Linked DNA regions of Tamandua tetradactyla. The protein of the gene in region 1 binds, or shares a complex with, the protein of each later gene. Links are inferred from orthologs where the notes say so. Each region holds a gene or a part of one and is shown on either strand. Other genes may lie near its edges. The genes, in order: SMARCB1, DPF1, ACTL6B and ARID2.

What was found.
Region 2: SMARCB1 (region 1) and DPF1 share a complex: the UniProt entries of both Homo sapiens proteins name them as parts of the neuron-specific chromatin remodeling complex. The link is inferred for Tamandua tetradactyla from reciprocal best matches to the Homo sapiens genes SMARCB1 and DPF1.
Region 3: SMARCB1 (region 1) and ACTL6B share a complex: the UniProt entries of both Homo sapiens proteins name them as parts of the BAF complex. The link is inferred for Tamandua tetradactyla from reciprocal best matches to the Homo sapiens genes SMARCB1 and ACTL6B.
Region 4: SMARCB1 (region 1) and ARID2 share a complex: the UniProt entries of both Homo sapiens proteins name them as parts of the SWI/SNF-B (PBAF) chromatin remodeling complex. The link is inferred for Tamandua tetradactyla from reciprocal best matches to the Homo sapiens genes SMARCB1 and ARID2.

The regions. Positions count from the first base shown.
Region 1 is NC_135331.1:25,825,940-25,832,927, reverse strand, and holds the start of SMARCB1 (SWI/SNF-related matrix-associated actin-dependent regulator of chromatin subfamily B member 1), read left to right. Parts: upstream 1-3,972; 5' UTR 3,973-4,157; coding exon 4,158-4,250; intron 4,251-6,988. Other genes in the region: MMP11 (stromelysin-3), read left to right, coding at 80-337, 1,229-1,362.
Region 2 is NC_135342.1:25,754,272-25,761,979, forward strand, and holds the start of DPF1 (zinc finger protein neuro-d4), read left to right. Parts: upstream 1-4,706; 5' UTR 4,707-4,769; coding exon 4,770-4,798; intron 4,799-6,155; coding exon 6,156-6,499; intron 6,500-7,708. UniProt on the Homo sapiens protein: May have an important role in developing neurons by participating in regulation of cell survival, possibly as a neurospecific transcription factor. Belongs to the neuron-specific chromatin remodeling complex (nBAF complex).
Region 3 is NC_135349.1:8,743,220-8,751,180, reverse strand, and holds the start of ACTL6B (actin-like protein 6B), read left to right. Parts: upstream 1-4,944; coding exon 4,945-4,969; intron 4,970-5,404; coding exon 5,405-5,481; intron 5,482-5,662; coding exon 5,663-5,828; intron 5,829-6,135; coding exon 6,136-6,236; intron 6,237-7,961. UniProt on the Homo sapiens protein: Involved in transcriptional activation and repression of select genes by chromatin remodeling (alteration of DNA-nucleosome topology).
Region 4 is NC_135333.1:105,665,149-105,672,719, forward strand, and holds the start of ARID2 (AT-rich interactive domain-containing protein 2), read left to right. Parts: upstream 1-4,571; 5' UTR 4,572-4,708; coding exon 4,709-4,800; intron 4,801-4,914; coding exon 4,915-5,008; intron 5,009-6,071; coding exon 6,072-6,169; intron 6,170-7,571. UniProt on the Homo sapiens protein: Involved in transcriptional activation and repression of select genes by chromatin remodeling (alteration of DNA-nucleosome topology). Required for the stability of the SWI/SNF chromatin remodeling complex SWI/SNF-B (PBAF).

The DNA.
Region 1 (6,988 bases):
TGGCAGCCGGGCGGCTCCGTGGCGGGCCCTTGCAGCTGGCCACAGCTTCCTGTGTCCTCCCTCTGTCTCTTCCCGGCAGGTGCGCAGTACTGGGTGTACAATGGGGAGAAGCTGGTCCTGGGACCTGCACCCATCTCGGAGCTGGGCATGGAGGGGTTCCCCATTCACGCCGCCCTGGTTTGGGGTTCCGAGAAGAACAAGATCTACTTCTTCCGAGGCGGTGACTACTGGCGCTTCCACGCCAGCACACACCGCGTGGACAGTCCCGTGCCCCGCCGTGCCACCGACTGGCAGGGGGTACCCTCTGAGATCGACGCTGCCTTCCAGGATGCTGACAGTGCGTTGGGGACAGGGTGGCTGGTGGGCAATGAGGGTGCAGTGGCCGCACCTCCCACCCGGGAGGAGCGGGAGGCCATCCCCATTCCCCTGCCCCCTCTTGGTGGGGCATTGCCATCCTCCCTATTACTGATGAGGAGACAGAGGGTCAAAGAGGCACCAGGACTTGCTGGCCCCCTCGTCTAATGGCGAAGATAACCACCACTGCCCACCCACTGGGGCTGATCCTTCAGGCCCAGTGCTAAGTTCCTTCCATGGATCATCTCAAAATTCCCAGAATGAGCCCAAGGAATATGGCCCGTTATCGACCCAGTTCCTGGAGGAGCAAACAGAGGCTGAGCCAATGAGGTTCCTAACTGGGCCATGGGGGTGGAAAGTGGCCTGAGCCAGGACTGCCACTCAGCCAGTCCCTGCTCCTAAACACTGAACCCTGCAATGCCCCCCTCCCCCAAGGACTCACAGTCCAGTGCTCTCTCCTCTGCTGCATGCTCCCACATTGGACCCTCTGGGATGGCTTTCTGGAGGGGCTTGAACTCTGGGGCTCCAGGTCTCCCATGTCACCCAGGATGCCCATCAGTCATCTGGGTCGGGGTGGGGGGGTTGACGTGAAGGTCAGGGGGCTGTGAGGGAAGCAGTGAGTTGCCTTTCTGAGACCTAGGAACTGGACCTCTGAGGCTCTGGGAGTCCATCATGCCAGGTGGAAGACTGGGAACAGGCGCTGGGGCAGCCTGGAGGGCTTCCTGGAGGAGAGGGAACCAGAGGAGGGGTGCTTCTGGAAAGGCGGTCCCCATGGGCTCTGCACAGCCCTCCCCACCCATCCCAGGCCTGGTGTGCTGGGCAGGCATAGAGCCCAGTGTCCACTGGCCCAGGCCTGCCCTCCTTCTCTCCCCAGGCTATGCCTACTTCCTGCGGGGCCGCCTCTACTGGAAGTTTGATCCTGTGAAGGTGAAGGTCGTGGAGGGCTTCCCCCGCCTCGTGGGCCCCGACTTCTTTGGCTGTGCCAAGCCTGCCAACACCTTCCACTGACCCTCAGCCCGGGTACCTTAGGGGGCCCTGACCTTGGCCAGGCAGGCCCCTGACACCTCTCTGGCTGGGAGCCGTGTCTCCTCAGGGCTCCTGCCACTTTGACAGCTGCAGGCTGGGCCGGGGGGCTCCATCCCTGCCCCAGGGGACTTCAGCAGGGCCAGACCAGCGGGGACATCCTTTCTCCGTCCTTCCCCGCTGGCCCTAAAGCAGGGACCCCCGGGGCCCTCCTGGCCTCCTGTCCTAGCCGAGCTCCTGGGCCATGGGGCAAAGCCAGTCCCTGGGAAGCTGGCTTCGCAGGGGTGCTGGGACCCGGTGGCCTTCGGTGGGTGAGTCCGGAGAGCTGGGCTCCAGGATGCAAGCCTGAAGGGTCAGGGATCCCGGGTCCTCGAGACCCCAACATACCTCATTCCTTCCACAGGCTGGCTTCCCTCCAGCTCCCCTTCTGACACCATATCACTGGGCTCCTCCCAAACCATATGTGTACAGTGTGTATAAAGCCTTTTTTTAAAATTTTAAGTGGAGAACTGTCATTAAATGCAGTCATTTTCTACCTGCCTGCCTGGTTGTCTTTCTGTTGTGCCCAGGATGAGGACAGAGCTGGGCCTGGAGGCACAGGGAGCTGGGGTCACGTCCGTCCACTTCCAAGCCTCTGGGTCCCCTCCTGCTCCATTCCTCCATCAGATCTCACTTGGACTCCTGTAGGGACTTCTTCTCTTTTAAATGCAATCTTAACTGAGATATTTTCATGTCGCATATAATCCACCCAAAGTCTACAATCGGTGGCTTATGGTATCATCACATAGTTCATCACCACATTCGATTTTCTTTTCATCATCACAATCATTTTTAGAACATTTGCATCACTCCAGAAAAAAGAAAGAAAAAGAAAAAAAAAATACATCCCATATCCTTACCCGTCCCTCTCATTGACCACTAGTGTTTCAATCTACCCAATTCTTTTTTACCCCTGATATCCCCCATTATTTATTTTTGTACTCATAGAAAGAGCATCAGACACAAGATTTTCACAATCACGTGGTCACAAAATAAAAGTTATATAGTTATATAGTCTTCTTCAAAGATCAAGGCTGCTAGAACACAGTTCAACAGTTTCAGGTAGTTCCCTCCAGCCACTCCAATATACCACAAACTAAAAAGAGATATCTAGACAATGTGTAAGAATAACTTCCAGGATAACCTCCCAGATCTGAAATCTCTCAGCCACTGAGACTTTATTTTGTCTCATTTCTCTCTTCCCCCTTTTGGTCAAGAAGGCTCTCTTGATCTGTTGATGCCAGGTTCTGGCTAATCCAAGGATTTCTGTCCCACGTTGCCAGGGAGATTTACACCCCTGGGAGTCATGTCCCACATAGGGGAGGGCAGTGAGTTCACCTGCTGAGTTGGCTTAGAGAGAGAGGCCATCTGAGCAACAAAAGATGTTCTCTGGGGGTGACTCTTAGGCATAATTATAAGTAGGCTCAGCTTCTCTGTAAGGGTTTCTTAATCAGCCTCCAGCTTCCATGGTCATTTTCCTCAATCCATCCTCCACTGATCATGCCATGGTCTAGCCCCTGTTTTAAAATACTTTGGTTTCCCACTTTTTTTTTTTTTTTTTTTTTTTTAAGGAAAGACAGAGAGAAGGAAGGAAGAGAGGAAGAAAGGGAAACATCTTTTAAACATTTTCTTGTTTTATTGTATTTTGTTTCTCCGTTTTCGTTACATGGGCTGGGGCCGGGAATCGAACCGAGGTCCTCCGGCATAGCAGGCAAGCACTTTGCCCGCTGAGCCACCGCGGCCCGCCCAGGTTTCCCACTTTTATCAGGTCACAGAACAAAATCCAGGTTGCTACAGCTTACCCTTCCTATTATCCCTGCAGTGTCCCTTATCCCACTGCCCCACTCCTTCTGTGGCTTCTTTGTAGAGCCCATCATGAATTTTTTTTAAGTACTTGGAAATTTATTGCTTTTTTGTATATATATTTCACAATAAAAAAAAAAGTTTAAAAAAATCAGTTGGTCTTAAGTGTGAGGGTTGATTTCTGAGCTCTCGATTAGATTCCATAGGTCTATAGTCTGTCTTTGTGCCAGTACCATGCAGTTTTGATTATCTTGGTCCATCACGAGTTTTATTATTTTATTACTTTAAATGATGCGAAATTGTCAACATAGGACTGCTTTTTTACCTATTGCATGGTGCAACCGGATCTGTTGATTGGTTTATGCTTTCATTAGTGCTGGGCTGTAAGCGCGGCAAGGCAGGGCTGTCTGGGGTCGCCTGGCTTGTAAGCACTGAGCAAGGCAAAGTTGCGCTTTCGAGGTGACTAAACTGAGGCACTGGCCTGGGGAAACTGAGGCACTGGTCTGGGAGGATGGTGTCACAAAGCACGCCCAGGCCACTCAGGCTTCAAGACACAGCTCTGTCCTAATCCTGCTCTTCAGGCCCAGCTCCAGGCCGAGACTGGGTAAGCCACCGACATAGTCAGGGCCTCCAGGCTTCTTCTGGAGCAAGACAAATTAGTCGCGGTTCCTTTAAGAGGCCCGCGGAAGCGCGCCCCAGCCTTTTGTCCGGGGAGCAGCGGCGCGCGCGTCAGCGTCAACGCCCGCGCATGCGCTCCGGCAGCGGCCTGGTCGGCGGCGGCAGCGGCTGCTGAGGAGCCCAGCGACGGCTCCAGTACCCGGCCTGGCCCGGCCTTCGCCTGCTGGCCTTGGCTTTCCTCGGCGCGGCGCGTCCCGGCCCCGCTTCTGCGCTTCAGGCCCCTCGCAGCTCGGCCCCGGCCGCCCATCTCCGCCGCCGCAATGATGATGATGGCGCTAAGCAAGACCTTCGGGCAGAAGCCCGTTAAGTTCCAGCTGGAAGACGACGGCGAATTCTACATGATCGGCTCTGAGGTAGCCCGCGGCGCGCCCTCGCCCTCCCCGCCCGGCCCCGCGGGAGTCCAGGGGCGGGTCGGCGCGCTGGGAGCGCGCGTTTCCATTCATCGCGGCGGGCGCGCGCGAGGTGGCGGGGCGGGACGTCGGTGGGCGTGGTCTGGGAGGGAAGGCCTGACTGATGGGGGCGTGGTCTCTGTTGGGCGTGGCCTGGGAGGGAAGGCTTTCCCGAGAGGGGCGTGGCCTCCGTGGGTGAGGCTGGGTGGGAAGGTCAGGTCGGGTGAGGAGCGCGTCCTCCATGGGCGTGGTCTGAGCCGGTCCCGCCCCCGCGCACTTTGGAAAATCTGGGTTCGCGTCCGCATTTTTTCTTGGTTCTGGGTGCTTCCAGGACTTTGGGCCCACGAAGTGCCAGTGGTACACCTCCAGCCAGGTGCACAGAAACAAGATACTTCTGTTAGTCCCGCAGCCCGTAGGGGGTCTGGAGGAGTAGGGATGGAGCTGCATGACTACCCTTGAAACTTTTGAGATGCTGAAAAACTCAGATGCACCTTTGCTTCTCCCCCATTTGAGTTCGTGAAATTGCTCATCCTCTCCCATGTCCCCCCTTTTGTTCCTGCTTCTGAGGTGGACGGTGGAGGTGTTCTGAGCTTTGTTTACCGCTGAAGAAACAGACAGGGAAAAGGATGCTTGTTGCTAGATTTTTCTGCACTTCTGAAGAAATTGACACTTTGGATATGTGTGAAGGACTGATTTGCAATTATTAAGGGGGCAGGATCCCCTCTCTTTAATCCTTAATGAGAAGCCACAGTGCTTTGGTTGAGTCAGCTGGACCACTGACTTTAAGAAAATCCTACAGCTAGTCCCTTTAAATATGTTAAGTTTTGTCAGATTGCCTGTAAGTGGCCCTTTTTGGCCTAAAGGCTGTCCCCAGTGAGTGTATATTCCTTTAATTTTTTTTTTCCTTCTTTAATCATGGGTATAAAATTGAACTGGGTGAATGTCAGGCAGTAGAGTCTCATGTAAAGAGGTAAGTGCCAACCTGGAGAGCTAAAGCAATTATAAATTGCCAAGTATCTCTCCTGGGACCATTTTCAATACCATATGCCACCATTTCATTCTTTTTTGGGGGGGATGGGGGCGGGGATGCATGGTCAGGGAATCAAACCCGGGTCTCCCTCATAGAAGGTGAGCATTCTACCAATGAACCATCCGTGCACCCTTCATTTGTGTTTTTAAAAATTGTGTTATTTTCTTCACAATCAAATCTGGTGTGAATGAATCGAGCCTTGTAACTGTCCCACTCCAGCTTTCAGGACACATGAGACAGTGGTCTTGTGTTAGTTGGGTCCCGTGTGGTAGCTCCGTGTTGTCAGTAGCACTAGAAAGTTAGTGTTTCCATTTTTCAGCAATTTTTGTAAAGCATTAAGGGCAGGGTATAAGCAGTTCTTTGTGTTATCCCATAGATGGGATAACAGGTCACATGTAAAATGCAGGGCACAGAGGCGGTCCAGGAGACAGTACCTGATGCCAGTGCTGTCTGTTAAAAGGAACACCCTTACCTGATTTGCTGGGCGGAGAAGGCAGTCTGTTTGGCATTGACTCCGAGTGAGTGTTACTTCTAAAGAGAAGGCTTTTGTTTGTTAGCGGAGCCACATGAGAAGTGGCTGAGAAGCCCGTGGCCCAGTGGGAGGAGTGGAGAGGGTGCTGGGTCCAACCCAGCTCTGCCTTGGGTCACCGCTCTCTGTATAACAAGATGCTAACACTAGATGGTCCCTAAGATCCTTGCTTAACAAGTTTTCCTTTCTAGAATGCTTTGTGGTCTTCTCTTCAGCCATTCTCTCCTGCCCACCCCAGTGGGAAAGAGTAATCATATGTGCGACCCTTTCTCCTGAGATCCCGTCTGTAGAGTCCCAGATCAGTGAGGCAGTTTGCTGCCTCCAGCCAGGCTCCGCAGTCATCAGACTTGGAGTTGAGGGAAGGGTTCAAGATCAGAGTGCTGTCTGTTGCTAGGCTGTAGCTCTTGTGACTGGCCCTTCCCCTTAGAAAAGAGCCTCCGTGTTCAGAGGGGTGGGCCAGCGCTGGTGATGCCTGGCACCCTGTGTGGGCCTCATGGGGCGGCCCCTGGAGCTACCCTGGGGTGGGAGGGGAGGTGGCACCCACAGTTGCAGTGTGTGCATGTCACTCTTCTACCATCTGCAGGTCTGGAGTCACTGAGCCAAGTCACAGAGCTGAGGGGACCCCAAGAAATCACCAGGTGTAGCACTTTCATTTCATTGTCAGGATGCCTGGATCCAGAGAGGGCAGGGGCTAGTTCTGGGAAAACCCAGGGAGCCACGTCCCAGCCTCCTGCCTTCGGAAGGGGCTTTGGGTGCAGGTGGGGAGACCACGCCCTGCAGGACCTGCGAGGCAGTAACGGGGCGTTAGTGCCATTGCTTTTCTTAGACCTCACAGAGACTGTGCTTTCCGCTCGGATGGAAATGACACACGCCACATAGTGCGGAGGGGGCTAGAGCCAGAATGACCTGGGTGCTCAGATGCTCTGGTCGTCTGTTCTGTAAACCTCTGACCGGTGAACACCAGAGAAACACATCTTTATTAATAAATTTGCTAGGCAAGTAAAAGGGAGAAAAAATCAAAATGGTCTTTAGTGGACGGAAGTTCAGCGTTGCCGAGCATTTGGCAGATGGGCAGAGAGAGCTCCAGAAAGAGGAAGTGATTCTGGGTTACAGGTAGGGCCAGTGCCCTCCACCCAGGCCGCT
Region 2 (7,708 bases), on another chromosome or scaffold:
TATTTGCATGGCTGGTACTTTCCTCAGATCTCAGTTCAAACGTCACCTCCACAGAGAGACCACTTCTCTCTTGAATCAACTTGTTTTCTTTTCTTTATAGTACTTTTCACCCTCTGAAATGCTCTTACTTATTTACTTTCTTTTACCAGCTTTCTCCACTAGAAAATCAACAACTTGAGCCAGCGATTTTGTCTGACGCTCGGCATCTTGAAGAGCGCCCGGCATATAGAGCTCAATAAATTTAGGAAGAATTGATTGACACCTATGCTGGCTTCCTCAGAAAAATGTATCCGGACAAGCAGGCACACACGACAGAGCCTGGTGTCACCCACAAACCCTGGGGAGGCCCAGAAGCCGGCTACCACCTTCTCCCACGCCCAGGTTGCCTGGAAGGTGGGAAGCGAGAGCTGGGCAGGGAGAACTCGCAGGGAGGGGGCAAGGATGCTCTGGGGCGAGTCCCGCCCCGCCCTGTATCCCCAGCAGCCAATGGACGTGCGGTCTTCCCGGCGCCCCCTGGGACGTGTAGTCCCTGCAGGGGCGCCCCCGGGCCCCGCTGCGCGCCCCTAGACTCCACGACCCGTCGTGCGCCGGAAGGCGCGGGGATTGGCCGAGCCCCGCCCCCGTCCCGCCCCGCTCCGCTCGCGCTGCAGCCCCAAGAATGAATGAAATCGTAGCGCGCTGGGCGGCAGAGCGGGCGGCGCAGGCCGGGCTGGGCCCGCGCGCGGCGGCAGCGGCGCCCCGGGCCGGAGGCGGCCCCGCTGAGCGGGCCATGGCCACCGCCATTCAGAACCCGCTCAAGTCGTGAGTGTCTCCGCGGGCCCCCCGACCCCGAACACACCCAGGAGCCCCTCCCCCGCCCTCGTTGGGGAGGGGAAGCAGCGCGCAGCTGGTAGTTGAATGGGGATGCCCAGCACACCCTCTCGCCCCTGGGGGTCCTCCACCCCGTATCACCTCCTAGGGTTGGGGGAGGGAAACCCTCCAGGGCCGCAGGGGTGCCTCTTCTTTGTCGCTGTCTGTGAAGGAATGTGGCACCAGCTGGGGGGCGGCCGAGGCCGAGTTTCCCCACCCAGGGGGTTTGGAGCGTCCTCTCCTCTATCTCACTGACGGCGCTGGGCCTGCCTCCGTATAGAGTTGGGAGGACCTACCTCGATCTCGGGATCCCCACCATCCTTCTTTCCCTCAGTCAGGCACCTTTCTCTCTTTCTCCCCTCTTTCTCTGGGGACCCGGGCCCGAGCGTCTTTAGGGTGGGAGCTGAGATGTCGGGTGTCCGGGTTATATTCCTGCTGTCTCCACTCTTTCCTCTTCGGATCTCCAGCTTTGGTCCAAGACACCACGGTCGTCTCAGACCGTAGGATCCCCCCACCCCCCACCCCGCAATCCCCGACCATATACCTCTAACAAGAGCATCTCCCATCCTTCTGGGGACCGATGGCTCTGGAACCCCATCCTCCGAGGATTCCCTCCCTTTCTCCCGGTCCGAGCGTTAGCTTCTACCTGGGCCCAGTGGTCGGGAGCCAGGACGCCTGGGTTTGAGCGTAGCTACCCGGTCCCCTTCCCCCTCCTTGCCATCCCCGGCTCTATCCTTCTCTCTCCTTCCCTCTCTCCATCTCTCGCTCGCTCGTTGAGATCCTGGACTACGGGTCCCAGCTCTCCACCACCCCCTTGCCCCAGGCCTTGACAGCGGGCTCCGAGTGACAGGCGCGCGGCCGCTCCCGCTCTCTCTACCCGGCTGGCGAGCGCGGCGCTCCCCTCCCCCCTCCCCTCCCTGGCCTGGGGGAGGAGGCGGAGGGCGAGTAGCGGCGCCGCCGCACAAAGGGGCCAGGGCGACCTCCCCCACCCTTCCCTCTACTCCGTGCATTCGCAGCCTTGACCTTGAGCATCGAGTGCTGAGGGAAGGAGGGGAGTGGGGGCAACCCCGCGAAGGGTCGCGCCTGATGGCTGTACCAGAGGCCCCCCAGTCTTTGCTGGCTTCTGAGGGCGGGAGGGGGGAGGTGTTGGGAGAGAAGGGTGTGTGTGTGGTGGTGATGGGGGGGGAGGCGGGGACTTACAGCACGCGCCAACACCGGTGGCTTTGCGGTGGTTTTGGAGGGGGTGTATGAGGTTCAAGTCATCCTGAAGGGGAGTGTGATTGTGACACCCATCTGCTTCCCTCTTACCCTCAGTGGCACACACCACATACACACACACACACACACACACACACACACACACACACATGCTTTTCCTAAGAGGGAGACCCTCAAACTGGCTGGGAAAGGGGGTTCTTATGAGGGTTGGTAGATACACAGGTATTGGGATGCCCCTCACCCAAGGGCAGCTCACTGCAGGGTCTGGAGACCAGGGGGTTGGCAGTGTTAGCGCCCATTTTGCTCTGGCCTTACCAGGGATCTGCAGAGGCCATGGTAGGGGCCCACATGTTCCTGAGGAATGTGGGAGTCAGATCCCTCTCAAGCAGGAGGCTGGGGAATGCAGCTCTCAGCAGTTCTGACTGTTTACACTCAAACCCCAGTTTGAGCCACTAATTTTCTATTCCCTCAGAGCCTCAGTTTTATCATCTGACAATTGGGTGCAATACTAGTTCTTTTTACTTCATGGGGCTGTTATGAGGCTTACATAGGTGACATTTATAAAGCACTGAGTTGAGTCTGGCCCTGACTAAAGGTAGATAACGGTGGTAGGTGGTAGTATCATGCTTTATCAATATTGCTTTGTACTGTGGGCACTGGGGGTGGGGCTGGGGGTTCCTGTGTGTAGGAGAGTGTGGGGGGGAGGGGATTGCAGAAGCGACTAGAGGTGAGGAAGGGGAGGGAGACCCTCTCCCAGTGTCAGCCTGGATCTGTGGGTGGACCTGGGCCTCTAAGGAGGGGATGGGGTGTCTACACTCAGGCTTCGCTTGCTCAAATTGATGTGAGGGTTGTGGAGTGGGGAAGGGGTGAGTTGGGGTGTGTGTGGCTCCTAGTGTAGAAAGCAAGTGCAAGAGGGTGTGCTAGGGATCTGTAGGGTGAAGCAGGTGAGAGAAGGTGGCAAAGGCTCCCTCTGAGTGTGAGCCAGTGGGTCGGCAGGGGTGAGTTATGGCATGGCCACCACAGGGGCCAGGAAGCCCTGACCTTAGGGATGGCATGCCAGTGTCCCTCACTCACTCTTCTCACCCACCTTGCCACCTACTCTTGGCCAGATAGAAGCAGAGACTCCCTCTCCCCGGAGTTAGGAGGATGAGGGGGGGTCTCAGGGTAGAGGAGTGAGCTGTGTATGGAGAACCTGAGGGGTTCTTTAAGGGCGTGTGTGTGTGTATGTGTGTGAGTCACTGAGTGACAAAATTGATGAAGACTAGCGTGCCCCCCTCTCCCCATTTGCAGTAGGGCTCCCTGGCCGAGGAGGGCATTGTGGGCGTGAATGAAACTGTCCATCCATGTAGCCTCTGAATCCTGGATGCAAACTCTGGACAGGGAGGCTCAGGTGGTATGTGTGTGTGTGTGTGTGTGTGTGTGTGTGTGTGTGTGTGTAGAGACTGGATGAGTGTGCGTGACTTGGTGGGCCAGCTCATTCTCTGGGGATTCCCTTAGGGTGGTGTCAATGTGGGTGACAGTGGGAGAAAGATGGGGATAAACTACTTGGGGATGGCACCTGGGTGAGCCAGGGGCCGAAGGTTGTGTTATCTCGGGCACGTACCTCACCTCCCTGTGCTTCAGGTTCCTTGCCTGGAAAATGGGGATAAGAATGTTATTTCCCTAGAAGGCTGCTCTGGGGATTAAATGCCATGTGTATAGGGCACAGTGTCTGGCACATAGTGCTCAGTAAATGTAGTCGCTCAGCAAATGGATGTTGAGCATCGCCTGTGTGCCAGGCAGAATCCATTCTAATAACCATTAGCCATTTTCCCTCAGTGCATATCAGATCCTCTGTGGAATGGATGAATTTATTGTGCCCTTACTATGTGTCGGGCCCCTTTTAAAACACTTTACCCATATTTACTTACTTCATTCTCACAACAATTCTATGAGGCATCATCCCCATTTTACACAGGAGGAAACTGAGGCCCCAAAAGATGAAGTTACTTGCTGATGGCCAAGTGGTAAGCAAGTGGCAGAACCCAGAGGTGGCCACAGCACCTGACCAGTGTCAGGGTTGAGGAGGGTGGGGCGGCTGGGAGAGTGGCTGGGGCAGAGTCAGTCCCGAGGGGAGTAGGCACTGGGGCGTGGAGGTCGCCGAGCCGCGTGTGTGCACACGTTGGTGGGAAGTCTGTGTGGGAACCTGTAAGGTGTCTCTAAGTCTCTTGGCATTGAAGTGTGTGCGTGAGTGTAAATGTGAGTGCAGCTGTGAGTCTCTATGAAGGGGTCTGTGTGAAGCGGTGTGGGCGGGTGTGTGAGTGTGTTTATGTCTGGGTGGGCACCTGTGAGTGTATGAATGTGAAAACTGCGGGGTGTGGGCGTGGGTGAGTCCAGGTGTGCTTGTGTGAGTGTGTGCATGTACGTCTAGGATGTGGGGCGAGTGAGCGTGTGTGAGGGACGGTGGGCGCTCCCTCGGGCCCCGCCTCGCGGGCCCCCTGCGCTTCGCCCCCTCCCTTGAGGCCGCCGGGTCCGCGGGGCCCCCAGGCCCGGGACTACCACTCCCAGCATGGCCCGGGCCGGCCCGCCCCGCCGCGGTGATTGGTTGGGGCCCCCGTCCTCCCGCCCCCGGGAATGAATGGATGGGCTGCCTCGGCGCCCGCCCGAGCGCTGGGAGGACCGACCCGGCGGGGACCTGCTGGGGGCAGGACCCGGGGAGCAAGATGGCCACAGTCATCCCCGGCCCCCTGAGGTGGTGCGGGCCGGGGGAGGGGGGAGGGCGCGCGGGCGGGTCTGCGCGGGCGGGTGTGTATGTGTGGCGGCCGGGGGTGGGGCCGCTGTGGTGTCTAGGGGGCTGTCACTGGGTGCGGGGCTGCGCGGGGGTGCGTGTGTGACTGTATGCCTCCGGCAAGAAGGTGTCCTAGGCGCCGCTCCTGGCGGGGTGGAGGGTTGGGGATCCTCGGGGTCTTCGTTGGGGAAGGGGTTCATCATCCCTACCCAGCAGGGGTCCGGGAGAAGGTGAAATGGCCCGGGGGGTGGGGGCCTTAGTAAACTCGACTGAAGTCCACACTACCTTTGTCTTGGAATGCAGTGTGTGTGACTTATTTGCGTGTGTGTGTTTAATATGTGTGTGATTTATTTTATTTTGCACTATCTTTTGATATTTGGGTCTTTGAGCATGTACACATGTTCTTAGGAACTATGCAGGATTTGTCTCTGTTCTCTGTTTTTGGATAAGTAGGCATATGTGTATTTGTGTTGTAGAGTTTTGTGTGAAGATGGGTAGTTTGTTTCTGTGTTAATATATATGTATGTATCTTTGTGTGTTTGGATATGTGGTATTTGAGATGTTGGTTTCTATGTTGTGTGTCTTTTTGAATGTGTGTGTGTGTACCCTGTGTGAATCTGTGTGATTTCTTTGTATTATATGTCTGTATATGATTCCGTGTGATTTGTTTGTGCTATGTCTTTGGATATATGTGTAAGTGCATATGTGGTTGGTTTCTTTCTACTGTTGTCTTTTTGACATTTGTGTATCTGTGTGTGTTCTGGAGTGCATGTGTGTGTGTGTGTTGTGATGGGTGTTTCCATGTTGTGTGTTCTTATGTGATTTCTGAATGGGTGATTTGTTTGTATTGTGCATCTTTGGATATGTGATGTGTGTTTGTGCATGGATATATGTGTGATCTATCTCTTTCAACAGTATTTGACGGGATATTTGTGTTTTTCAGTATATGTGTGAGATTTGTCTGTTTCTCCTTTGTGAGTCTTGGGATGTGTCTTTGTGTGTGAATCCTGTGTGTCTATGTGTGATTTATCTGTGTTATCTTTGGATGGGTCCTGGTGTGTTTTTGTATGTTTCTGTATTGTGTGCATCTACTTCTTAGTTGGAGGCCTTCTTGAGTCCCATATTGGGGAACCCTTGACCCCTTGGTTCTGTCTGCTCCCTCCACTGAGGGTCCAGGACTGGCAAAGAGGGAAGAGGTGAAATAGGAGGGATGGGTCCACCCATCCCTGACTCTGGGAAGGCCGGGCTGGAGGAGGGGTGCTGCGTGACCAAGCGCACCTACCCTTGCTGACAGCTGCCCGCCCGCTCACCCGCCCCGCAGCCTAGGCGAGGACTTTTACCGAGAGGCCATCGAGCACTGCCGCAGCTACAACGCCCGCCTGTGCGCTGAGCGCAGCCTGCGCCTGCCCTTCCTTGATTCGCAGACCGGCGTGGCCCAGAACAACTGCTACATCTGGATGGAGAAAACCCACCGCGGGCCTGGTACCCGCCGGGTGGGCAGGGGTGGGGCGGGGCCGCAGCTTCTTGGCCGCATTCTTACCTCCCTCCTCACTCCAGGTCTGGCCCCGGGACAGATCTACACGTACCCTGCCCGCTGCTGGAGGAAGAAACGGAGACTCAATATCCTTGAGGACCCCAGACTCCGGCCCTGCGAGTACAAAATTGGTGGGTGGAGCAGTGCCTTGTGCCTGCTGGGGCCCCTAGTGTAGGCTAAGTGTGTGTTGATCTCAGTGTGTGTCTGATCCTCTGGCTTTGTGTCCCTTCTAGTGACTGGTGGGCTGTGTGTTTTGTCCAAGTGTGTCTGGGCATATTCCAGAGATTCTACAGTTTTCCCTGAGTGTCTGAGCTTCTGCTTGTATCTCCTCCTAAGTGGGCCTTGGTGTATTTAAGGGCACAGTGGTCTCTATTACGCTGTGTCTAGGTCTATTAAGTTTCTGACCTGTCTCCCTTCCCTTGTGAGCCGGGATGTATCCGATGCCTGGCCCTATCTCTTCTGGTAGGTACCTATGTGTGATGGACTATCCATCTCCCTGGGTGTGTCCTGATGTGGTGGGGTGTCTGTATTACCTCTTGGATATATTGGAGTGTGTCAGAATGCCGGTTGTAACTCTCCATTTGTAGCAGAGTCCATCAGTGTTGGCGTCTCTTTTCAGGTGTAGTAGAAGCTTTATTTCTCCTTGTGTGAGTCTGGGCTATCAGAATATCCATATCCATTTCTCTTCCTGAGTGTGTCTAGGTATATTGGGGTGTCTGGGAGAATCTCTTCCCATTAGTATCTGGAGTACAAGGTGTATTTCTGCCTGTGTGTCTTGTCTGTCAGAGCATTTGGCCTTATCATTTCTTGAATGTGTCCAGGGATATCAGAGTGCTGGCTATTTCTCTTCCCTTGTCCAGGTGTATGCTAGGGACTGGTTGTGTCCCTCTATGGGTCTGGGTGTAGCTGAGGGTTGGACAGTATCTCTGGGTGTCTCAGAGTGTCTCCAAGGGTCTGAATGTGTCTCCCATGTGTGGACAGGTATATCCAAGGGTCTGGGTCTATCTTTCCCAAGCATCTGGGTGGATCTGAGGGTTCAGGTATAGACCTCTCTCTTTGTGAGTCCAACCACCTCAGATGATCTGTATCTCCCCTGTGAATGTTCCCCTGTATCCAGTTTGAGTGTATTTCCTCATGGGTGTTTGAGTGTGTGTGAAGGTCTGGTTGGTTGTCTCTTCCCCAGGGTCTGGGCATCATTCCCAGGATGAGTGGCTGAATCCCTGCTTCTGTTGCTGGTTGAGTGTGGGAAAGCCTCTTCCCTCCCTCCCACAAAGAGCATGCTCCCTGCTGCCATGTGCAATGTGAGTCCTCCAGGGTTGACTTCTCCACTTGACCCCCCT
Region 3 (7,961 bases), on another chromosome or scaffold:
ATCAAGCAGTGGTTCCCCATCAATTCCACAAAGAGGGCCAAACTTCTTTGCATGACACACAGGCCAGGTCTTGTCCCCTCTACTCAGAATGTCTTCCACCCCCCGCTGCCTTGTCAGCTCGGACAATTCAGGTCATTTTCTCAGGCTCAATCTAAATATTGCCTCTCCTTGAAGCATTCCAGGACCATGCTGTTGTCTGTGCCCCGCTGCAATGCTGGCTCCATTCCTGTTGCAGCCTTTACTGGACTCTGTTTATTTTTGGGCATTTGCCACCTGCACTGGGCCAGCGGCTCTCAGTGAAGCCAAGGCACACTTTTGATCTGACACAGTTCTGGATGAGAGCTCAGCAAACCATGAACAGACCCCCGGAAGATGCCAAAACATTTACAGGATATGGGGTCTGAGAGGCCTGCTCCTACCGCCTTGGACCTTCTTACCAGGTGTTCAGGTTTGTCCACCCAGAATGGGAGCTTGAAATATGAGAACCATCAGATCTGTTTATGAAATTAATCATTTAGGCATCTACCTTCCTGGACAGACATTAAACTCAATGGAAGTTGTATTATGCTTTATTCCCAGTGCCTACCAGACACCTAGGGAACATTTATTGAATGAATGAAAGCATAACACCTGCCCAGGATTAACATTTTTCATATGCCTTGGTTTAGATTTTAACTCTGTCACTTACCAATTGAGTGACCTTGGGCCAGTCATTTAACCTCCATGCCTGTGCTGGTTTGAAAGGATGTATGTCCCCTAGAAAAGTCATGTTTTAATCAAAATCCCATTTTGTAAAGGCAGAATAATCTCTATTCAATACTGTTCAAAGTATGTTTGAAGCTGTAATCAGATCATCTCCCTGGAAGATGTGATTTAATCAAGAGTGGTTGTTAAGCTGGATTAGGTGACGACATGTCTCCACCCATCTGAGTGGGTCTTGATTAGTTTCTGGAGACCTATAAAAGAAGAAACACTTTGGAGAATGAAAGAGATTCGGAGAGAGCAGAGAATGCTGCAGCACCATGAAGCAGAGTCCACCAGCCAGCAACCTTTGGAGATGAAGAAGGAAAACGCCTCCCGAGGAGCTTCATGAAACAGGAAGCCTGGAGAGAAAGCTAGCAGATGACGCCTTGTTCACCGTGTGCCCTTCCAGCCAAGAGAGAAACCCTGACTGTGTTCACCATGAACCTTCTCACTTAAGAGAGAGAGAGACCCTGAACTTCACTGGCCTTATTGAACCAAGGTATCTTTCCCTGGATGCCTTAGATTGGGCATTTCTATAGACTTGCTTTAACTGGGACATTTTCTCAGCCTTAGAACAGTAAACTAGCAACTGATTAAATTCCCCTTTTTAAAAGCCATTCCATTTCTGGTATATTGCATTCCGGCAGCTAGCAGACTAGAATAATGCCTCTGTTTCCCCATCTGCAAACTGGGGATAAATTAAATGACTTAATATTGGTAAGGCATTTATAGCAGTACCTGGCATAAAGTAGATGCTTTGTGTCTGCTAAATAAAAATAGTTTCAGAAAAGAAGAAGAAAATAGAAAAAGCAAAAAAAAAAATTTTTTTTAAATACTTACAGGCATGAAAGAGCTGGTCTCTGATGACTTGTCTAGTCTCATCCCCCAGTGGCACTGGCCTCTGCCAACAGCTCATGTCTAATCCTCCTTCTAGATCGAACTCCTAACTATTCCCACATGTACCAAAATGTTTTATGATTCAGTTCAAACTTCTAGAAACCTTCCTGGGCTCTCAAAGACAGGTAGCTCTTCCATCTTCTGAGTCTTCAATGCACCCTACTTCCATTTAGATCTAAGTTCCAGCTCAAAAATTCCTTGACAGCAGAAATACCTTAGACACCTTGGTAATCCCATGCCTAGCATAGTGCCTGGCACACAGTAAGCATTTAAAAAAAAGTCCCTTGAGTCAGTGAGTGGACAAATGAAATATATTAACTCCCTTCACTGTAACCATGCCCATAATACAATGGACTCATGTCAGATCCCATGACCAGTGAAAGTTGAACACAGTTGCTTAGGAAGGAATCCAAGTCCAGTCCTGTAGATAGCAGATTGTAGCTTTTCCACCAGGCTTGAGAGGAAACTTCCCTCCTCATTACCAGATAAACTACAGAATTTGGACTTGTTTTTAATAATATTAAAGCCTCAAAAACTTCCCAAGTATGTTCTGAAGGACCAATGACTACTGAGTAGTCCTGGGGCCCGGTTCTTAGCCAGGCACCTGATTCTGGTCTCAGGTTAAGTCCTCACCACCAGCCATTCTATAGATAAGGACAGTGAAGCTTGGAGAGGAAGACGGAGCTGTTAATGAAACAAGGCCCTCTCTCAATGGCTGACAAGAGAGCTGGGCTCTTTCAGGAAGAAATTGATCCATTCAACAATTCAAACAAAACCCCAAGATCCCATGTCTGGGGCCTCTCTCTCTCTCAGCCAACATGGCAAGCAAACTTACCACCCTCCCTCTCTCTACATGGGACATGACTCCCTGGGTTGTGGACCTCCCTGGCAACGTGGGACAGAAATCCCAGAATGAGCTGAGACTCAGCATCAAGGGATGGAGAAAACCTTCTCCACCAAAAGAGGGAAGAGAGAAATGAGACAAAATGAAGTGTCAGTAGCTGAGAAATTTCAAACAGAGTCGAGAGGCTATCCTGGAGGTTATTCTTATGCCTTTATAGATATCCCCTTCTTAGTTTAAGGTGTATTAAAGAGGCTAGAGGGAAGTGCCTGAAATTGTAGAGCTGAGTTCCAGTAGCCATGTTTCTTGAAGATGAATGTATAGTGATATGGCTTTTGCAATGTGACTGTGTGATTGTGAAAACCTTGTGTCCGATGCTCCTTTTATCTACAATATTGACAGATGAGTAAAAAATATGGATTAAAAATAAATAAATAATGGGGGAACAAATGTCAAAAATAAATTGAGTAAATTGAAATACTAGTGAACAATGAAAGGGGCTGATAAGGGGTATAGAAAAAAATAGGGGGAACAAAGGTTAAAATCTATTGAGTAGATGGAGATACTAGTGGTCGGTGAGAGGAAGGGGTAAAGGGTATGGTATGTGTGAGTGTTTTCTTTTTTCTTTTTATTTCTTTTTCTGGAGTGATGCAAATGTTCTAAAAAATGATTGTGGTGATGAATATGCAACTATGTGATGATATTGTGAGCCATTGATTGTACACCATACATGGAATGTTTGTATGCTGTTTTGGTTTGATAATACAAAATAAATTTTTAAAAAATTAAAATATGTAATACTGAAAAAAAAACCTTAAAAAAAAAAAAGATCCCATGTAATGGGGAGCCAACCCATATTCAACCCTATAACCTTCCCAGTGACTCCCTAGGCATCTGCTCACTAAGGTTTCTCCAACGGGGGCAGGTTTTGACAGTGAGGTGGCTGCCCCCAAGGAGTAGTGGGAATTGACCAGGTGAATTTACCCAGGAAGTGACGATTACATCATTAAATATCATAAAACCAGATTGTGAATGGAATAATTTTTCCCTGCAGTGTTCCTTTAATCCTCACCTCGACACTTTGAAAGATGAAAAAATACAGACTCCGAGAGGTTAAGGCACTCATCCAACTCACCTAGGTCTCAATTCATAGAGAGGCCAATGACTGATCTATGGTCACTTGGGATAGTCTCAATGCCCCAGCTTCGGGGTCTACTCTCTCCCCTACAGCTCATCCTCCCACTGCGCCCAGATCCGCCAGACTGGGGAGCCAGTCCTGGACCCAGGACCAACCCCAGGTGCCTCAGATGCCACTGTGGTCAGTGGGAAATCAATGAGACAGCTCAACCATCTGCCCTTTGGCTAGGGAAGGGTGAAACTTCTTCCAGGATAGGCATCTGGTGTGCAGAGACCCTTCAGGGACGCTGTGGCTGTACTCACACAGTACCCTCTTCCTCTGCCATTTCTGGTCTTAAAGACACCCCCCCCCCCACCCCCACCCCTGCCACCAGCCTCCAAACAAGCAGGTAAGAGTGTCCCCGATACATGCTTACATACACATGCACATATGTACACATGAAAAGAGAGATATGCATGCGCGTGCACAAGCACACATAAACAAGTATATACGGGTGCACGCCTACACATGCATGCTTACACAAGAGGCTCTTGGCTAACCTAGGCTGCAAGAGCCGCTCCTTCACCGTCCCTTTCAAAACCGCTGTGGAGGTGTCCAGCCAGGAGCGGATACAAAACCTGCTTCATAAATGCCTCCTGAGCAATAAAAGGGGCTGAAGAGAGGCGGGTAGGGAAAGGAAGCTGAGCGCCTCTGTGTGAGCGTGTGTACACACGTGTGTATCTGAGGTCCAGGCACTAGGGGGCGCGGGAGGAAAAGAGGGGCCATCAAAATGACCAGGGTGGAAAGAAAGATGAGAAGATGGAGACACACCCCCTCCGGGTCCTCTCTTTGCCTCTCGCCTCTCCTCCCTCTCCGGGTGATTGCTCTCGACCCTGGCTTTGCTGAACCACGTTCTAGAGCCTGAGGATGGACGACTCTGCGGGACTACGGCGCCCTCTTCCCGGACCCCATTTAAATAGAAAGGGAGCAGGGACCCCATCAGACATGCGTCGGAGTCCTGCTCTCCGGACGGAGGGGAGCCCATTTCCTTCTACTCCTCCTCTCGGTCTGCCCATCCCGCACGGCCGTTCTCTCCGTCCCGGTCATCTCCTCGCCCTCTCGTCCCCGCCCACTCTGGGGCTTCTGCCCCTTTAAAGCAGCGGCCCCCGGGCCGGGTTATTGTCTCGCCTCGCAGCCAATCGGCAGCGCCGTTGGGGGCGGGGGATCCGGCCTCCCGATTGGCCGCCGCGCGCCCCGCCCCGCCCGGGATCCCGGGAGCTGTCCGGCCGCCTCGGTGCTGATCCCGCCGCCGCCCACGGGCCGCCGGCAGCGCTGAGAGGGCACTATGAGCGGGGGCGTCTACGGCGGAGGTGAGCGAGCCGCAGGCTTCGGGCCGGAGCCGGAGCCCTGGGACCCCGAACCCGTGCGACCCAAGCTCCGGGCACCCCGAGGCCTGTCAACTCGGCGCCCCAGCCGGCAACAGCCCGGGGCTTGGGTCCCGCGCCACCCCTACCTTCTGTCCTCCCCGGGAAGCCCCGCGTGCACCGGGTCCAACCCCTCCGGCCATTCAACCCACCGCCGCCGGGACCCCGGCCCCCCTCCTTCTTTGCTGAGCAAGGCCACTCGGCAGGACGGACTCTGTCCGGCTTGACCCCCACTGCCAGGACCCCAGACTCCAGGCCAAGCCCCCACCTGTCCCAGGCGGCGAGACTAGAGACTGTGGCTCTGCCCTGCCCTCCCCTTGGAGCTGTCCAGGGGGAGAGAGTTTGAGGGAGGACCCCTGACACATGTGTCTCCCCGCACAGATGAGGTGGGGGCGCTGGTCTTTGACATTGGCTCCTTCTCAGTCCGCGCTGGGTACGCTGGGGAGGACTGCCCCAAGGTGAGCCTTCCAGCCCCTTCCCCAAATCCCCGGGGCTCCGGACTCCCCTTCCAGACTTTCCGGTAACTTGGGGTGCTCACAGCCCAGCCTCTGCTGACCCGGAGTGTGGGAGTCAACCCCGGGGCGAGCTGCACGCGGGCAGGAGGGTGATCCCTCTCCCTGCCCACCCTCCCCCCTTCAGGCTGACTTCCCCACCACGGTGGGGCTGCTGGCCGCGGAGGAGGGGGGCGGGCTGGAGCTGGAGGGGGAGAAAGAGAAGAAAGGAAAGATCTTCCACATCGACACCAACGCCCTGCACGTGCCCCGGGATGGAGCCGAGGTCATGTCACCTCTCAAGAACGGCATGAGTAAGGGGCCCCCAGCCACCACCTCCTGATACAGGCGGGAGACCTCTCCCCACAACCTGGGACATAGCACCTCACACCCACGGAGTCCTCCTTACAACTGCCCAGCCCTGGGGAGCCCCTTGCTGCTTCCCACAGCTGCCTGCTTCCCAACCCAGGGGCCCACCAGATTCTTGGGAGAGGGGTTTTCTGCTAGACCTGCCTCAATTCCCCTTTCTCTGAACTTAGCCTCTTTCCTTTCTACTTCTTTCCTGTCCCGGGACCCCTGCCTGCCCAACCACATATTTCCACGTTGGTCTTCTGGGCCCAGTTGAGGACTGGGAGTGCTTCCGTGCCATCCTGGATCACACCTACAGCAAACATGTCAAGTCTGAACCAAACCTGCACCCAGTGCTCATGTCCGAGGCCCCGGTAAGTGCCTCGGCCCAGCCCCTAGTCCAGCCCTGGGGCCCAGGCACTTCGTTTCCACCGTGCACCTCTCACCTCTTGCCCCTACCATTGGTCATACCACATCCTCCCTTGTCAGATTTTCCTTCCAACTTCAGAGCTCTTCAACCACTTCCCTTCCTTCCTGGCTTAGAATCCACCCCTCACTCTCTCTTCCTGCTCTATCCACCTGCCCTTCCCCCAATCCATGTTAAACATGCCCTTTTATACCCCTTCCCCTCAAAATTCCTTTTTTTAGACCTTTTAACTTAAAGTTTTTTGACATTTTATATACACATAAAGAATCAATTTGCTTTATAGAGTATAAGAAAAGAAGGGCAGTTCCTACCCCCTTCTTCCAACTCCTCGTTTCCAAAGACAACTGCTTCTCATCTCTTTCAGCCAATTTTTTGTGTTTTTTTTGGGGGGGGGAGTGTTTCCTTCCAGATCTCTAAATATCATGCTTAAATTGCTGCTTGTGGACTTCCCACTAGATAAAATGAACATTTAGCTCAATTTCCACCTCACACTGCACACATTTCTTGTTCCCCACCCCTAAGTATAGTTGCATTTTAATTTGTTTTCTTCAAAGATCAGTCCTCAGTGTTTACTCCCTTGTTGCTGTGTATTCTGATCAAGGCTGAGCCAGGCAACAAACTATGATTACATTTCCTTTCCTATACAACCTTTTGTTCTCCCTAAAACAGACATTTGCTTGCTTTTTTATTTGCTTAGTTTTCTATCTACCTATCAGTAATGTGACCTTCAATTATCTACCAGTTACCTACATCTTCTCTCAAAACATTAATTCCATTAGGTATTCTACCAATTTCATCTTGAAGAAATCACTCCAGGAGCCCACTGATATTCTCCACTCTGGACTACCTGCCCTCTATACCTGGCATCTTCCTTCACCATCATCTTAGGGAATCCTTTTGCTTCTCTCCTGTGTTAGCATTTCTGTTTCTGTATCTCATGAATCCTTTTGATTTACCCCCTCATGTTCAGTTGCTCAAGTCCCAGAGGCCCCCCACTTCACTGATTCCCACACCTGCCTAGCTCCCAACCCAGGGCCCCAGGAACTTCAGTAACTTCCATAGAAAGGTCATGGGAAGTAAATTTTTTTTTGAGATCTTGCATATCTGACCTTGGATTGATAGCTTGGCTAGGTATAAAACTTCAGATTGGAAATTATTTTTCATCAGAATCTTGAAGGCACTTCTTCATTGCCACCTAGCTTTTATTGTTGTTATGAGAAGACTGAAGCCATTTGATTTCTGATGTCTTGTTTTCATTTCTGAAAGTTGGTAGAATCTTTACTTTGTCCTCAGTGTTCTGTAATTTCACAATGGTGTGTCTTGATATTGGTCTATTTTCGTCCATTGCTCTAGGCACTCAGTATGTCCTTCAATCTTGAAACCCATGTCTTTCAGTGCAGTGAGAATATTTTCAATTATTTATTTAATGATTTCTCTCAATTTCCTTCATTCTCTCTTTTGGGAAGTTCTGTTATTTGGATTCTACACCACCCGAATTGGTTCTCTAGTTTTCTTATCTTTTCTTTCTCTTTTCCATTTCTATCTTTTTGCTCTAATTTCTAGGGAATCCCCCCTCGATTTCAATTTTTCCTCTGAGTTTTTCATTTCTGCTCTTGTAGTTTTAGTTTCCAAGGACTCTTTTTTATTCCCTGAATGTTGCTTTTGATTCTTG
Region 4 (7,571 bases), on another chromosome or scaffold:
CAGCATCTGCCCAATCTGAAGTAGAATTAAACTGTTTAAAGGCTTAGTTGCCAATACTCATTAGAGTCACCATCAGAGTGGAAAGGCCTCATCTATGATTTGATATTTGAATCAATTTCAAGTAAAACAAGTTAGCCAACACAAAAAAGTAAAGTACAGGAGAATACACAGGCACATGCAGTAGGCATGAAAGCACTCTCACATTTTACCAAAAGTATATTTCTTAGGAAGGTCATCTTTAAAATTTAACTTCAATAGCCATGTTCAATCAATTCTTTTAAACCTCAGAGTAACCTAAGAGCCCAAAATTTCTTTAATTAGTTGACATACCAATTCTTCAATTAAGTTGTTTCTGCAGTTGTGATAATCTAACATGCTTCATTTGATACTGGGTATAGTTTTTTTTTAAGTGTAGTTGAGTGAGAGAACTTGTAATCACAACTTCTTGACTAAATAATAGCGAAACTTACAAGAATCAAAGATGAACATAAAATAACAGTAACCTGTAATTATGATGTGCAAGGTTTGCAGTTACTATTAAAACCAATGCTTTGCATTTTTCCTACCATAAAGTCTTGTCATTTTTCATCAGAACAGTAAATTATACTATTGAATTTCAACAGTTTTCACTGCTATTGGTAATTTTTTATAGGAATAGTTTTCATCAATACTTGAAAACTATGAATTACATATCTTATCAAGTAAGTTGGAGAATATCTATTGCTGTAAAGCTGCCAGTACATCTCTGACATTTCCTTCCCAAGATCCACCTGCTCTATGCTGCCCACTATAGGAAATGCAATATGGTACTAAGAAATATAATACTATGCACTAGGGTTACTATTTGTGCAAACCAATAAAAAAAACAAAACAAAACAAAAACTCTCTGGCGACTTGGTTGCTAAGATAGGGTGTTTTTCGAAGTCACAGACTGATTAGTGGTAACCATATTAAATATAAAGGACATCAGTAGGAACAGATAGGACCAGAAACTATATCTTAGTGATCCAAAAGCCAAAGTAGCAACGGGGTACTGCAGGAGATGGGGCGTGGAACTTAGTGATGGAGGTGGAGGGAGCAGAAAGCTGGAGTTCTGCATTAGAAAGGAATAGAGGGTCAAAATCAACAAAAACAAAAACACCTCAGTCAAAAGAGTCATGCAAACACAAATGATTGCTGATAATGGAAAACAACACAAAATCAATTATGCATGCAATACATATTTAAGTATTATCATATGAATCTCGTCTTTCTTTAAACCTTTACATTTCTTTAGCTTCTTCGTCCTACATTTTTCTAATCGGGGGAAATTAAACCAGGTAGCGATCAGATAAACATCAAGTTTTATGTTTCTGTTTTTAAAACTTTGACCAGAGTATGTCCAAGTGTTAGGAATTTAAATTCTATCAGATATACATAAGGACTCCATTTTGACGATGACAGCCTCTTCTACAGAAAAGCAGTTTTTTTATTTCTTATAAAAAAACAATTCATATCAAATCTTAATTCTTAAGATACATTAAAACTCCAAATCTTTATCCTGCGCTGAAAAGCAAAACATACTTTTGTATACGCATGTGTCTACATACACATATGTTAATAGCAGTTAGTGGTTTAAAAGTGGCAATCTCTCCTTGAAAAGTAAAAACATAAAATGTCTCCATTTTGTCCTTCGAAATAGAAATTAAAAAAAAAATCTAGACCGTTCACTGAATAGTTGGTACTAGAAAAACGTTCTAAGGTTTAACCTAACATACAACCCTAAATCCTGACTCGGAAGACTTAAATTTCAGCGTACATGCCTTCATTCCCACTCCAGCCCCATTAGCACCTTCCCTGGCCCGGGGCCGGTCAGCAATGACCCGGTGCGCCTCGGCCACCGGAATTCGACAGCACCGCCCGCCGCCGGCAACCCGACTCCCGGCGCAAACGTGAGTTCCCAGGCCAGGGGCCTCCGGGACTCCCGAAGCTCACGACTCAGACGACTAGACTGGGCCGTGATCCCTAGCATTTAAAAACTACCGGAAAGTCTGCACAAGTGGCGCTGCCAAGGCCCGGTGTTGTCCGCTCCGCATGCGCCCCGTTCCCGTCCCATACAAGACAGCCGGACTGCCCAGGCGACCCTCCACTGGATCGCAGTCTGCTGCCGAGGAATGTGGAAAAGCAATCAAAGCTATTGAGTCTCTGGAGCAGGCAGCCGCAGCTTTCCCTTCTCCCATCAGATACAATTACGCCGGCGGCTTCTGACTCTTCCTTCGAGAAAATGAAAAAATAAAAAAGCGTAGAGGTGCTAAAAGCCGCTGGCATTTCCCAACCAAGGAGATCCTCTTGGCTCCATCCCTTCAGCAAGATTTCAGAACTCGATGCGTCCTCAGCGGAGGTATTCCATGTTGACGGGTCTCTTGCCTCCCACAAAATGGGGCAGAGGAAGCGACTGCTGTCTCCTCTATGGGCGCCGCCATTTTGTGAGGCGGCGGCGGCAGGGGCCCTGGGTGTGTGTAATGGTTGAATAGAATGACCCCCTTTAGGGAATCCCCGGCGCTGACAGTTACGTAAGGGGCCGTGAGCAAGTGCGACGTTTAGGGAATCCGCACAGCCGGGCCGCGGAGATCTGCGGCCCACATCTCCACCACCCCTAAGAGGACCGGCGGTGGGGGAAGGGACAGATGACCGGGTCTCTCCCTCCTACCCCACCCCCACTCCCACTCCCACTCCCCGCCTGGGCCACTGCCCAGCATCTCGACCTCCTTTGGCTGGTTCACCGCACCCACCCCCACAGGCCCTGGGGTGTCTGGAGTTTCCTAGCTACAGCTTTATTTCGAACCCATTATAAGAGAGAAACTTTTCTTGGGAAATAATCCCGATTCCTAAAGTGAGCACCAGAGGCATAGCATTCTGGGCTATATTACATAATTTTTTTCACCACCAAATAAATGTTCCCATCGGCGTGATTGGACTACCTGGAATAATAATCCTTCCAGACACAAACTACCTTGGGTTAGGACTTTGTCCGTAGTGACCACCACTAAAATGGGAATAATACGTTGCTCTACTGTGAAACTTGGCATTTGTAGCAAGGGGCCGGCTGCAACACCCCCTGTAAATATAGACTTAGGTAGTGGTGGTTGTTGAAATGGTTTGATTCTCCCATTTAAGCTAAGTTTTTTTTTTAAGCCTTCAAAATATTTTAAACAAGGGTTGCATTTAAGGAATTTGATAGAAAGCAAGGAAAAATATTTTAAATATGTTTTTGAGATGTCTTAATATGAAAATAAAAACGTTATCAAAGTTCGAAAGATTGCATCCCAACCAGTTTACTGTTTTATAACTATGATTGTAGAATTAATCTACTTTGATAAGTGAAACCAACGAAAGATGATATGAATTGAGAGCATTCCACCGAATGTATAGTTTGCTAAAGTTAGTGGGTAATTCATGGAAAATGTGCTAACCAGGCTCCAGAATACTGATATGAAGCTCAGAAAAGCCGATTCCTTTAGACTTGGGGGAAAAAAGTTAACAAATTGACTTTATTCCAATTTGTGAATGTTGCGTAGCTTGAGGAGCTGTCCCTCAGAGTTTCATTTCCCTCCGGAGCACCTCACCGCTTCGGTCCGACTGGCAGTGACTACCAGGCGGCCCTTCAATAGCCGGGTCGGGGACGCGAACATCGCCTCCACCCCTAACCCTGAACAACCGGTAGTGGCCGTTTCTCCGCGCCGCCCCCCTTTCCGTCGGCTTTGTGTGCGTGTGAATTGTGCGGCACATTGCAGATGAACCCTAAGCCCGGCGAGCCGAGTCTATTGTTCCCCGCGAGGAGCTGCCGGGGCGGTGTGGAGCCAGGTGCAGTGCCGCGGCCGGCCCTCGGGGGTCGCTGTGCGGCGCTGGCTGCCGGGCCGTGGCGGCGGCGCTGGCAGCGACAAGAGAGGGAGGCTGGCGGGGAGGGAAGCAGGCGGGCGGCGCGCAGCGGCTCAGCCGCCGCGGGTGCCTTCTGCCTGAGGACGCCCCGGCCGCCGCAGCCGAGGCCGCGCGTGAATGTGTGCGAGGGCCCCGCGGAGCCGCGGCCGGAATATACGCTGTCACCCCGCTTTCCACAAACCACCACACAGACCTCCCCCTCCCCACCCCCAGCCCCGCCTGCCCCAGCCCCGCCGCCGCCGCGGTCGCCGAAACTCCCTGGTCTCTGACCGCCCCGGCTCCTCACCGTCCGCTCGCCTTTCCCCTCGCCCGCCCGCGCGCGCACGGCAGCAGCACCATGTTGAATCGCGTCCCTGGGCCGAGCCGCCTGGGCCGGCGGCGCTGAGGCGGACGAGAGCCGGGCCGCGAGGAGGGAGGGAAGGAAGGGGTGGGGGTGGGGGCCGCGCTCGCCCCGCGGCTTCGCGCGGATCCGGCATTCGCCTGTCCCTCTAGTTTCGCTCCGATTTCTTTAAACTTTTTTAGAAATTCCCCTCCCTCCTTCCCTCCTCTCCCCCTGGCCTCCTGCTCCCTCTTTCCCCTCCTCCTCCTCCTCCTCCCCCTCCCTCCCTCCCTGCGCCGCCGCCGCCGCCGCCGCCGCCGCCGCCGCCGCCGCCGCCACCGCCGGCCCATGACTGAGCCCCGCCGCCGCCGGCCGAGGAATGGGCTCCGGGCTCTGGTAGGAAGCGCAGGGAGCGGGGGACGCTTTTAAAACACCGATCTGGTTTTTTTAAAAACCTCCTTTGAAAAAATAATGGCAAACTCGACGGGAAAGGCGCCTCCGGACGAGCGGAGAAAGGGACTCGCTTTCCTGGACGAGCTGCGGCAGTTCCACCACAGCAGAGGGTGAGAGCAGAACCGGGGGGGCAGTGCCGGGCGAGCCGGGGCGAACGGGGCTCTCCCGCCCCGGCCGAGTGTGGGGTCCCGGCTGACAAGTGCGGGGCATTCTCTCTTTCGCAGGTCGCCTTTTAAAAAAATCCCTGCGGTGGGTGGGAAGGAGCTGGATCTTCACGGTCTCTACACCAGAGTCACTACTTTAGGCGGATTCGCGAAGGTGAGTGGAAGTTTTAATTTGTATTTCCCTCTCGCTGGCCTCCTCCAAAAAGTCTCCTTTGACCCCGGAGTGGGCGCTCGGGGCTGGGGGGGTTGACTCGCGGGGGCAAAAGGCGTTCTTTTCGCTCTCAGCCGGTGGCACCGAGGCGGACGGCGGCGGGGCTGTTTTTGGCCTGGTGGCTCGCGTGCGCGCGGTGGGCGCGGGGCTCCGGCGGGCGGGCGGCCCGGCGCCGGCTCGCGCCCTGCCGGGTGCCTGGCCCGCCCGGCGGGGTCGGCGCGCCACGGCGGGGAGTGCGGGCGAGCGGGGAGCCCGCCGGAACCCCGCGCCCGCGCCTGCCCGCTCGCTCGCTCGCTCGCTCGTCAGCTCTGCTGCCGCTGCCGCTCTAGCACAGGCGGAGACACAGAGACACACAGACTCTGAGAGCAGTTTTCGTGCAACTCAAAATTAGCGCGGGCAGGTTTAACATCGATAATCGGCTGCGAAATGATCTCGGCAGCCGGGGGCACAGCCTCGGCCCAGTCGCCCTCGGTTTATACGGCTAACAAAAGAAACCAGGACCTGTCTCCAAATAGCCATCTTAGGCTTCAAGGCTAGGCAGAAGCTGTAGGCCTCAAAGAAGGGCCTATGGAGATGGATAGATCTGGGAGAGGGATCGGAATCGGCCCCGGGCCCGGCCCCCCCCCCAGAACCCGCGGACGTCGCTGTCCGGAACGGTATTGATCCTTTTGAACTTTTTTTTTTTTTTTTAGTGTAAACGGACCGCGTTGAGATTTAAAAGGGGGCGACAGAGGGACTTGCGATTGGTTATTGTCCGGGCTTCAAAAACAAAACAAACCCACCAAACCCCCCCCCAAACAAAACAAGTGCTATTAAATACGGGGCTCTCTGGTGAAAACAGTGATTCACACAGCTCTTGCATAGTAACTCTTTTGGCTCGAACCGAAATAACCACCGAAGACTTAGGTATATCCAGATCTCTGTAGAATGGGTATTTATTTCATAGTTAAGTCAGGGTTTTCTTGGATTGTGCAGTTTCAAGCAAGTATGCCTGTGTTTTTAACAGGTTTCTGAGAAGAATCAGTGGGGAGAAATTGTTGAAGAGTTTAACTTTCCCAGAAGTTGTTCTAACGCTGCCTTTGCTTTAAAACAGTATTACTTGCGGTAAGTAGTAGTGATTCTTTAACAGTATTTGGAAATAAGGGGGGAAATTTGTTTTTAGCAAAACAAAACAAAGCCTTGCACACAAAACAGTTTCTAATCGCTTATTTCATTCGAAGAAACATTATCAATAAAGTGTGATTGTAGGAAGGTGCAAGTTTTCCTCACCTATTTTAGAATTGTTTACATTTTTCATATGAAAACTTTACAGGTGACACCCCACCCCCACTCTTGGTAAATATTCTTTTGTGACATTGTTATTGATTGTTCGATATCCACCAAGGGGCAGAAAGGTGATGCTTAGTATAAGAGTTAAGATAGTTAATGAAACTTTGTATCCCTTGGGAAAATTTTTTCTTTGTTTTGGAAACTCTTTTACCTTTTTATGACTTTAAGATTTTTTTTTTTAATGAAACCTTGAGTACACAACCATGCCATTGAGTAGTTTTTAAGTTGGTATTTACATTTAACATGTTGATGCCTTAGGTGACCAGGATTGATTTTAGAATTATCTTTCCTCAAAATGTTGAATGACTTAATATTTAAAAGGATTATTATATGTTTAGGAAAATAAGGGGTACTGTGACGTGTGATGTGATTTGGAATTTTTTTATTTTCCCTCTTTTCGACTCCTTATTTAGCAGAGTAAATTTCTTATTCAGTTAGTATGTGATAGATTTTGTGATTTAGGGGTTTTTGTCCTCCCGCTTATTCTAGGAATATTTTCATGTTGTAATTTATTATGTCATCTTTTCTTTTTAATGTTTGTTTATCCATAGAGCGTCCTTTAGTTGGTGGTTGTTATTCAAAACTAAAATAATACCCTTTGGTTTATTGTTTTTTAATAGTGATTTTACACAATGGCTATTTTTTTGTAATGTGGCTTCTGCATACTTTGGGTTTTGCATTTATTACTGCTCAAAATACACAGTTACTATTGTGTGTCATTTTCAGCATTCTGAAATAGGAAATGCAGAACTTGCACAGGTGCACTTTCTATTGGCTATCTTAGAGTGACTTCAGACTTCAAGCTGAAGAGTTCACAGAACTTTGTGGAGTAGTTACTGAGTTATACAGAAGTCTAGAAACTATTAAGTAGGGTTAGTTGCTGTTTGTTTTTTGTTTGTTTTGTTTTTGTGATGGCATGTGTTTCAGTATATTTTTAAATAAAGGGCAAAATTTACAAACAATGTCAATTGCTCAAACTTGATTTTGTAATGGGGTGAGAAGTATAGAATTTTGTATTTATGGTGACATTCACTTGCTCGTTTCCATTGTGCATGGAAATATTATAATATCCCAATATAATATTGAGAGGAATGATGCTAAATACATGTTCTAGTTTTATTCATCAGATTTATCCTTTAGATTTTAGATGGTTTAAAATCTATATTTTAAAATTACC